Linked DNA regions of Tribolium castaneum. Each later gene encodes a partner of the first gene's protein in a complex. Links are inferred from orthologs where the notes say so. Each region holds a gene or a part of one and is shown in the gene's direction. Other genes may lie near its edges.

The links.
Region 2: the proteins of cacophony A (region 1) and Rbp are in contact, whole or in part, in a crystal structure (PDB 4Z8A), measured with the Drosophila melanogaster proteins. The link is inferred for Tribolium castaneum from reciprocal best matches to the Drosophila melanogaster genes cac and Rbp. Residues at the interface, in NP_001245639.1 of Drosophila melanogaster: Ile1688, Gly1689, Arg1690, Arg1691, Leu1692, Pro1693, Pro1694, Thr1695, Pro1696, Lys1698, Pro1699, Ser1700, Thr1701, Leu1702; in NP_732029.4 of Drosophila melanogaster: Ile1353, Leu1355, Tyr1356, Tyr1358, Leu1363, Pro1365, Asn1366, Val1367, Asp1368, Val1372, Glu1373, Thr1378, Gly1379, Asp1391, Gly1392, Phe1393, Leu1404, Pro1406, Ser1407, Asn1408, Phe1409.

What each region holds. Positions count from the first base shown.
Region 1 is NC_087400.1:9,233,738-9,238,159, forward strand, and holds the start of cacophony A, read left to right. Parts: upstream 1-1,429; coding exon 1,430-1,616; coding exon of another isoform or gene 1,617-1,636; intron 1,637-4,422. UniProt on the Drosophila melanogaster protein: Voltage-sensitive calcium channels (VSCC) mediate the entry of calcium ions into excitable cells and are also involved in a variety of calcium-dependent processes, including muscle contraction, neurotransmitter release, gene expression, cell motility, cell division and cell death.
Region 2 is NC_087401.1:8,018,102-8,022,536, forward strand, and holds the start of Rbp (RIMS-binding protein 2), read left to right. Parts: upstream 1-1,326; 5' UTR 1,327-1,450; intron 1,451-4,435.

The sequences.
Region 1 (4,422 bases):
TCTTCAAGCATTTAGACAACCAAGTCGTTTAAAGACGCTTAAGCGACGGATTTGCTTCATTTTGCAGGTAGACAAGTATTGGAAAGTATTGGAAAAATTTATACATGAACTGTTGAAGATAGAAATAAGATGTTGCAGACATTTTTATGGAAAATGTAATTTTTTGCAACTTTTTTTGTAATTTTTTTTTCTGTACCTTAACCGTATTTGCAGTGTCTTGAAAAATATGGGACGAGGAGCAAATTTAAAATTTTAAATATTTTTAAATCAACATTTTTACAATTTTGTCCAAGTAATTAGTAATTAGTGAATTGATTGCATTTAAATTAATTTAAAATGATTTGGCGCTGAGACGGTATAACTCTGTCGTACTATTTTTTTGGGTTCAGAAAATTCTGCGATTTTATATCACGTTTCGTCTACTAAGTTATAGTTTTCCGTAGTTATGTACCTTCAAATTTTCAGATGAATATTTTTACCATGGGCGCCGAATTTTTTTATTTTCAATGAGTGCACTACCCAAGTTTGAAAAATAAAATAGGTGTTAACAAACCTGAAAAAAACTACATTTTTTTGTCTGATTTCATTTAATCTAAAGTAAAATCGTTTTATGAAAAATTGTTAAGTTATGAAAAAAGTTGGAGATTTTAAAAAAGTTATATAAATACTACTTTACTACTAATTAAATACTACTCTGCTGATTAGGGTCTACATTTGTAGGTGCAAATTTGTATTTATCTACATGTTTCATCATTTGACTAAACTTATTTTTTAACAAAAAAAAGTTCAATTTACCTATATTATCTTGAATATGTACCAAAAATTGCAATAATATAATTTCTTCTTCTGTTGTATTATTTATAATTGATGCTAAAAGGGGCAGAAAATGTTTGGTATTTAATGTTTCAGTATATTTTGTTCGATTTAACTTATTCTTTACGTGGAATCGATATTACGATATTTAAAAAAAGTTTGTTATTTTTATTATTGTTTTTTTTTCTGTTAAATTATAGGGCCAGTTTACGAAGGGCCAAAAAAGTCAGTTTACTAGAAAAAAATCATATTTCAACATTGTTTGCTTGTTCAGAAAATTACAAAACAAGTTCTAAATTTGTATTTTTCATTAAATATAATTTCTACTTTCTTCCAATTATCTTATTTTTTAACAAGGACTGCTGTCCTTAATAAAAAATTTGCTCAATTAATACAAAAATAAAAAAATACCTCTTTACTCGTTTAATCTATTTTTTTAAGGTTTAAAGTACTGTACTTTATTTAATGAGCCATAAACGACTTCTACTGATAGACGTTAATAAACGTATTATAAATGCAAAGTATAAAAATTGCTTCAAAATGATGAGTTATCATTATCTTTTATTGCTAAAATTGCCCAGTTGAAGTATGTTTTTCAAATTTGGATGATGCAAAAATGATTTGTTCTAGGTTGGCTGCAGCGCAGGAGGCGGCGGCACAGGCGGTGCAGCAGCAGACGGGGGCGGGCGCAGCTGATACAATGGGTGGAGCCAGCGCGGCAGGAGGGCAGGGGCCCAGCTCGTTGTTCCTGTTCTCCGAGGAGAATCCTATTCGTAGACATACGCGCTTCATCATCGAGTGGCCATATCCTTTTACAAATCACGTTTTTTAGCATTATTTTATTCTTTAAAACAAACCACATTGGAAAGACAAATCAGAAAATCCCAGCACCTTCTGGCAAATTTTTTGGCATTTAATTATTTAAAGGAGTGGTTTATTTAAAAAAATCACCCTGTTTTAGAGATGACTGCAAGAAAAAAGGGTTGTGGTTGTAATAACTGTTATATCAAGAATATAAGTACAGTTTTTTTTCCATCAGGTCCTGTTTTTAAGGGTACACTGAATAACGGGAAATAGCACGAAAATAGCTATAACTCATATGAAATGGGTTAAAAAACAATAACATAACATAAAAAACAACAGAATCATAAGATCAAAAATTACAGTTTTCAACTTTTCTGTTTTGGATGGCAAAATCTTCTTGCTTGAGACACCAGCAGTAATCTCCCAACATTGCAGTTACACACAGTTATACCGTTGATCAGACATGCCTACGTTTCGTTTTTTAATTTACTTTTGAGGATATGTTCACTTTTTGCCAAATTAACATGCGTTAAGAATTTTTTTTTAATTACACAACAAATTCAGAAAAACGCAACATGAGCATAAAACTATAGACTTTAACTTATATTATATAAAAAGTATGAACTCGAACCATTTGTAAATAAACGTAGTTTGAAAAATTATATCCCCTCATAATACACAAATTTTCAAAATTTATGTGCGCATATCTCAAAAACTAGACCTGAAGTTCCAGCAGGATCATCACACTTGTATAAGAATTTAAAAATACATATACAAAATCGTCTCACGAAGTGAATTAGAGTCTTCAAAATTTTTTTGGAGTTATTTATTATACAAGACAATAAAGAGATTGTTTATCTACGAATGAAAAATTTAAGTTCAGGAGCGACAAAATTTTCGGTAGAGAGACAATATTTATCGTCGTGTATATAGTGGCGTATCAACTTATTTTGGCTCTCAAAGCTCTAAGAAAGTTTCGCTCCGCTCGATGATTTTTTCTGTATGGGGTGAGTTTGTTAAAAGTATACTTTACTATCTCAAAAACTAAAAGTCGAACCGAATTCAGTGTTTGTTCATAAGTTTTTCTCTATGTATGTGATTTTTTTCAGACAATTTCTTCTTTTTTTTTAATTAAAATTTATTAATTAATAGTCAATTTTTATACGAGTTTTATAAGACGTTTTATTGTGGTACCAATGAATTTGGAGCACGACGAAAGAGTGCTCCAATGGAACGAGTGCCACAAACGGGTGTATTATACTATTTTTTCTACTTTCTATTTTTGTTGTTTGTTTTTGTTTAGTTTAACTTATCAAAATCTGTTCAAATTATTCAATTATTCGGGCTTTATCAATAAACGACTTGTCACTGTTGACAGATCATACACTAGATTAGAGTGATGACTGATGGCACCCAGCCATACTGCCAATACAACTTCTAAAAATTTGCTAAAAAGAGTTTCACAAAAAATTTCTTTGTGTAACTACTTTCTACTTACTTGTAAAGTAGAAAAAATATTAATATCTACAAATATAATAATATTAATTTTTCGAAATTGTATGATTTCTAGTGTTATTCTTAAACAACGATGCTTATTTTTTGGAGCTTGCACAATTTTATACGGATTTTGATTACATAACAACATTTACCTAAGCTTTCCTTGTTCCCAAATGACACAAGGTGTATCAATTTTTTGCAGATATGTTTAATAGTAATAAGTTAATTAATTAATTAATTAAATTATAAGTAATTGTTGAAACATATTTCAGGCATAGAGGAAAATAGGGTATCTAATATTTAATAGAATTTTGTGGTGTTATTAGTTTTAGAGATATTGTAAAAATTGATTCACCTTGCATATCTCACCAAAATTTTTTTCGGTTTTAGTTTTTGATATACCTTTTAGTTGCTGCTTTTGTTATTTATTAATCGGCATAATGGTGAGTATCATAATGACTGTAAAATTGTCTCTTAATAAAAGCCTATTGTTTATTAATTATACTATAGTATTATATTTCATACTATAGTTTAATATATACTATAGTATAGTATAATAGCTAGTATAATTTTTACATAATGGTTATCAAAAAACTGCTATAACTCAGTTTTTTCAAATAAAACGACCGTATTTTCTTAACGGCAATCGAAAGAACTTTGATATTTACGGTGACTTTTATCAATACGTTTTATATTTACCTCTTACTGTTTTTGAAAAAATCACAAAAAACGAATTTTACTCCGTAATTTTCATAGTTTATCAAGTAGACCTTGCAAAATGGTTAAGAATTGTCAAAATTTATTATTTTTTTATTTTTTATTTCGTTCATTATTGAACAAACAGTAAAACAAAAATATTTAATTATAGTTTATTATAACTTAGTGAATTATGTAAAGTAACTCAGTGAATCTTTTATTAAGTTTTGAACTTCTTAAATGAAAATAGTAAACAAATAGGATATTTTTTTAATTAATATCACAATTTTATCGTAATTTTCCAAAGTTTACTTGATTAAAAATGAAAATAATGAGCTAAAATTTTGTTTTTTGCGATTATTTAAAAAACTGTAAGAAATAGATATAGAAGATGTTAATAAAAGTTTGCATAAAAATTGATGTTTTTTGTTTGCCATTGAAAAAACAGGGTTATTCCATTTGAAAAAACAGTGTATAATCATTTTTTAATCATCATTTTCAAAAAGTGATAGTAGTCTTGCAATTTGACAGTTGACAATCAGACTTCAGATGACCTTTTGAACCTTTGGCTATCAAATGCAACAAGATTTATTCATTTATTTTAAAGGGTTC
Region 2 (4,435 bases), on another chromosome or scaffold:
CTTCATATAGAAGCAATTCTCTACCACACACCATTGAGTTGGTACGCCGGTTTTTGAGCACTCGGTAAATATAAAAAAACTTTATTGTTGAAGTTATACATATCAATTAATATCTTAGATATTCAGTTAAAAAGGAAGAGGCGTATATTACACCATTTTTAGAAACTCCACCCCTAATGGAATTAAATGCAAAACTCCTTCATTTTTTGAAGTTATATTCAAGAGAATTGGCATATGGACCTTTTTGAAAATTACATCCACAAGAGGGTTAAACAGGGAATGAGTATGTTTGCAATTATGAAAAAAAAAGCAAAATTTACTCGGGTTTGCATTGGATCACGGTTTTAAAGTTCACAATAAACTGATGTGTTTCTACTTTTTGTTATACTAAGTTTTGCATTGTTTTTCTGTGTTTATAAATGGTTGTAGACATGCCGTGGCCAACTGCTAGTTATTAATAAAATACCAAAGGTCCTTTTAACTCTTATAGAATTTTTTTCATTATGTTTCGGCCGTTACGCCATCTGTTATGTATTTGTGTCTGAGGTTGAAACAGCTCTAACATTATCAAAAATAATAAATAAGAGTTAAAAGGACCTTTGGTATTTTATTAAGTAATTAAAATGGTTCAAAGTTTAATCAATTATGACTCGTTAAACGTCGACCATTTGTGCCAAGTTTCATAAAAAAATTCTATGTCCTTGGTGTTGCAATTTTAATGACATTGAGATAGTTTATGATAAGATTTTCGCATTATGTTTATGTATTACTATTGAGGATTTATTGCACTATTTGCCTGAATTTTGTTTTTTTTTGGTTTGCTACCGTCCATTTTTTCAAATTCATGGTTCGGAAAACTAAGACGGTAATGGAACAACTGCGCTCTCTGGCGACATTAACGGAACTACCGAGAACGGGAACGTTTTATTGGTACGTCGTTTTATATCCTAACCTTGTGACATTTTTATCTCTAGACAGACTCAAACTGTAGCGACCTGTAATTTGTCACTTACTATAAAACTAACTGGAAGATGGCACCAGACTCATTTAAAAATTCAATGATTTGATTTTCTTTATGGAACATTTTTTTTTGCTTTTATTTACTTGTATTGTAAACGATATATTAAAAAAACTAGTAAAACTTATTTTTTTTTGAGTAACGTTTCCTAGTATACAGGGTGTGCCAAGATTGGTGCCAGCCCTATACTTCGAAAACGAAAATTTCTGAAATTTTGTACATGTTTGGCCATTATTAAAATCAAATCAAATCGGAGATTTGTCGGCAGATGCCGCCGCCCCCGGCGTGACGTCACTGCTCCGGTCCCCCAAAATCAATTGCAAGACGCGCGCAGATTGATTCAATAGTGACCTATATAGTGATGCCGCCATTTGTAGCTAGTTCAGTGTCTCCGTCCTTAAATTTTCACTAAAAACATCTAAAAAAATCGGGGTGAGTTTTAGTCACATTTTTTTGCTTCTAAACCCTTCGGGAAAATCCCTATTTAAATTGCCCTTGTTGACTACGTCGCGCTCTCGGGCTAATTTGGAAATGGAATTTTCCAAAAATTGCAAAACGAGGGGGAATTACCCAGTTTAGCCCCTTTTTAGGGGTGCAAAAGCGTTGCGAAGGGTGAGCGCGGACGACGGTTAGCTTTTTGGAAATTCCCCCGGAACGCATAAATAATTTTAAAATCGATACGAATCGCGTGACAAGTAATTATGTGAAATTTTTGTGTATGGTTAGTTCGAAGGGAGTAATGATGGGTTTAATGTGTGATTAAGGGTGGGTCGATTTTTTCGACTTATTAAAATTCCAGAGGCGTTCGTCGGTTCTGATGGATCGGAATAAAGACGGGCTTTTGATCGACCAGATTTTTACATTATTTTCACACTATTTTATCAGCGATGGGCTTAAAAGTGGTTTATTATTACATGAATCGATACATGTGTTGTAGCAATTTAAGAGTGATAAAGAGTTATCTATTAGATTAGTGCTTGAGAGGCTTCGACAGATTCTTGCAGCTTTTTCCACTTTTTGCAAGCTCTGTGCTAATGATAATTCGCAAAATCAAATATCAAAAAGTAATAATTCATTAAAATTAAATTTCCAATTTTTATTTTTAGACAATTCTGCACTGTGGCAATTTTTTAATTGGAACGTTAAAATAGCGACATGACAGTTAATTAGGCAAATATCAGCGGATATTTAAAATAATAAATTAGTGAAACACCAGTTTTTTGCTAACTTTTTGAACGATTTTTGATTGTCCTGATTTATTGTCAGAAGTGCATCAACTCAATATCCAATGACAAACACAATAATGCAATTTTTTTTAGATTTTACTGCCATTTATATACTTTTTAAAACTTTGAATACACAATAAATAAATCTAATTTTTCTGTAGTTAGCGCAATTTTTTAACATTCCTTAGCAGACTCATCCTGTAATCAAATATTTCAACGGGTACAAAAGTCAAAAATATTAGATATTAAATATTAATCCGTCGAATTTATAATCATTTTTATGTACTCATTTTGGACACTTACCTAGCTAATCTTTGTTAAAGGCATTGGCAACTTATTTTGCCAGTTCTATTTTTTAACGGAAATTTAAAATATCGCTCGTTCCATGCCAGTAGGTTTTTTTCAAAATTTCCTGGAGAAATAAGTGAAATAATCGCTTCGAAAGAAAGAAATCGTGACGTCACAACCGCCTTTCATCACTCAACCTTCTCAATCGTCAAAAACTTCACAGATATTTGAACATTTTTCACACATTTTTCACAAAATCAAAAATTAACTACTTTTTTGACTAATTTCTGTTCTAAATTTTGCCTTAAAAACATCTTACAATTGGACCAAATGCTCAATAGGCGGTTACAACGTCATAACTCCAACTTTAATTCGAAATAACTTGAGTTAGAGAGCAGATACAGAAGAACGGTAAGCACTTGCAGTACTATCATTTAAAATAAAGTTGTTTTTTAAGTTGCCAATGACTTTAAGAATTTCTAGTTTTTAAAAGTACTCATGCATAAAGTATGAAGTCCACACTTTGAAAAATTTTGTGAAGTCTTTTAGAATTTTCAAAATTGTCAATTGCCAAAATTCAAGGCTAGTAAGATTTTTTTTCAAAATGGTTTTCAAAAAACAGTTTTTTCAAAGGGAAGGACCATAATTTCTTAACGGTAATCGAAATTTATGGTGAATTTTATCAACATATCAATTTTATCAACGTGGCCCAGGGGGTGTAATCGGTCTATTTTTTGGTAATTGAAATATTGCTATGCTGTTTTTATTTTCCGATAGATAGACCTAAAATCCACAAACTAAAAATATTTTTATTATGGACAGGATGGTGAACCAAAGTTATATTTTTCTAAATGGTACACCCTAGATATTTTTGCATAATTGGAATCTACGCAAAAAATAATGTAACTATTATGGTCTATCTTTATCCGTTTTTGGAATTACTGAACTTTTCGTTATGAAAAGACCAATTTTTGAAAAATCAATCCAAAGTCCGGCAAATTTTGCAACAAAAAAATTTAGAATACCTTGTAGTTTTAGCAAATACATGACTTTTAGTTAAAGCAAGCTGATAATATACAGAGTGTGCCAAAACGCTAAAAGTGGAATAACTCATTGTTTTTTTTATGTATTGATAGCATTTTTGATAAGCTTTCTGACGGTATAGCAAATTTAAAATATTTTTCAAAATTTTTCGAAAAAAATCATTTTATTACAAGAAAATTTGTTATCCTAGAATCCTAAAATAAGTCAAATGGTAATTTATTTTTTGGTATGTACTAATGTGACTAATTACATTAGTAATCTAATTATTATTTGATACATAAATGAATTTTGCTCATCAAGAACTAATAATAAAATAAGTAAAAAAAATATTATTTTTAAACACTTTAAGAAATACTTCAAATTTGTTATGCAAACCGCATATCATTAGAAAGCTTATGAAAAATGCTATCGATACGTGTAAAAAATATATGGTGTTCCATTTGAAAAAAAATGAGTTACTCAACTTTTTGCGTTTTGGCACACCTGCGTGTTTTAAGTAAAAGTCGACTATTACTAAAACCAAAGCCAGTAGATATACTAAAGTAGCGACACGGACCTTGACAGGGCAACAATAACGATTATACACTCTACAGATGGCTCCACCATCAAAATTCAAAAACGTACGTCAAAAATGTCAAGATTTTCTCACGTTTGAAAAATTGGTGAATCAGAACAATAAATTCGGTGATCGTCTATAATTTCACCCTGGTTATTACTGTTTATGTGTACAGATACCATGAAACCTTCAAACCTGTGCTTCACTCACGTAAAGTAAATCAGATCTCCCTAAATTCAACTGAACATTGCAATGAGAAAGGCTTTTAGAATGCGCAGAATACAGCACCTCTTATGGACATTT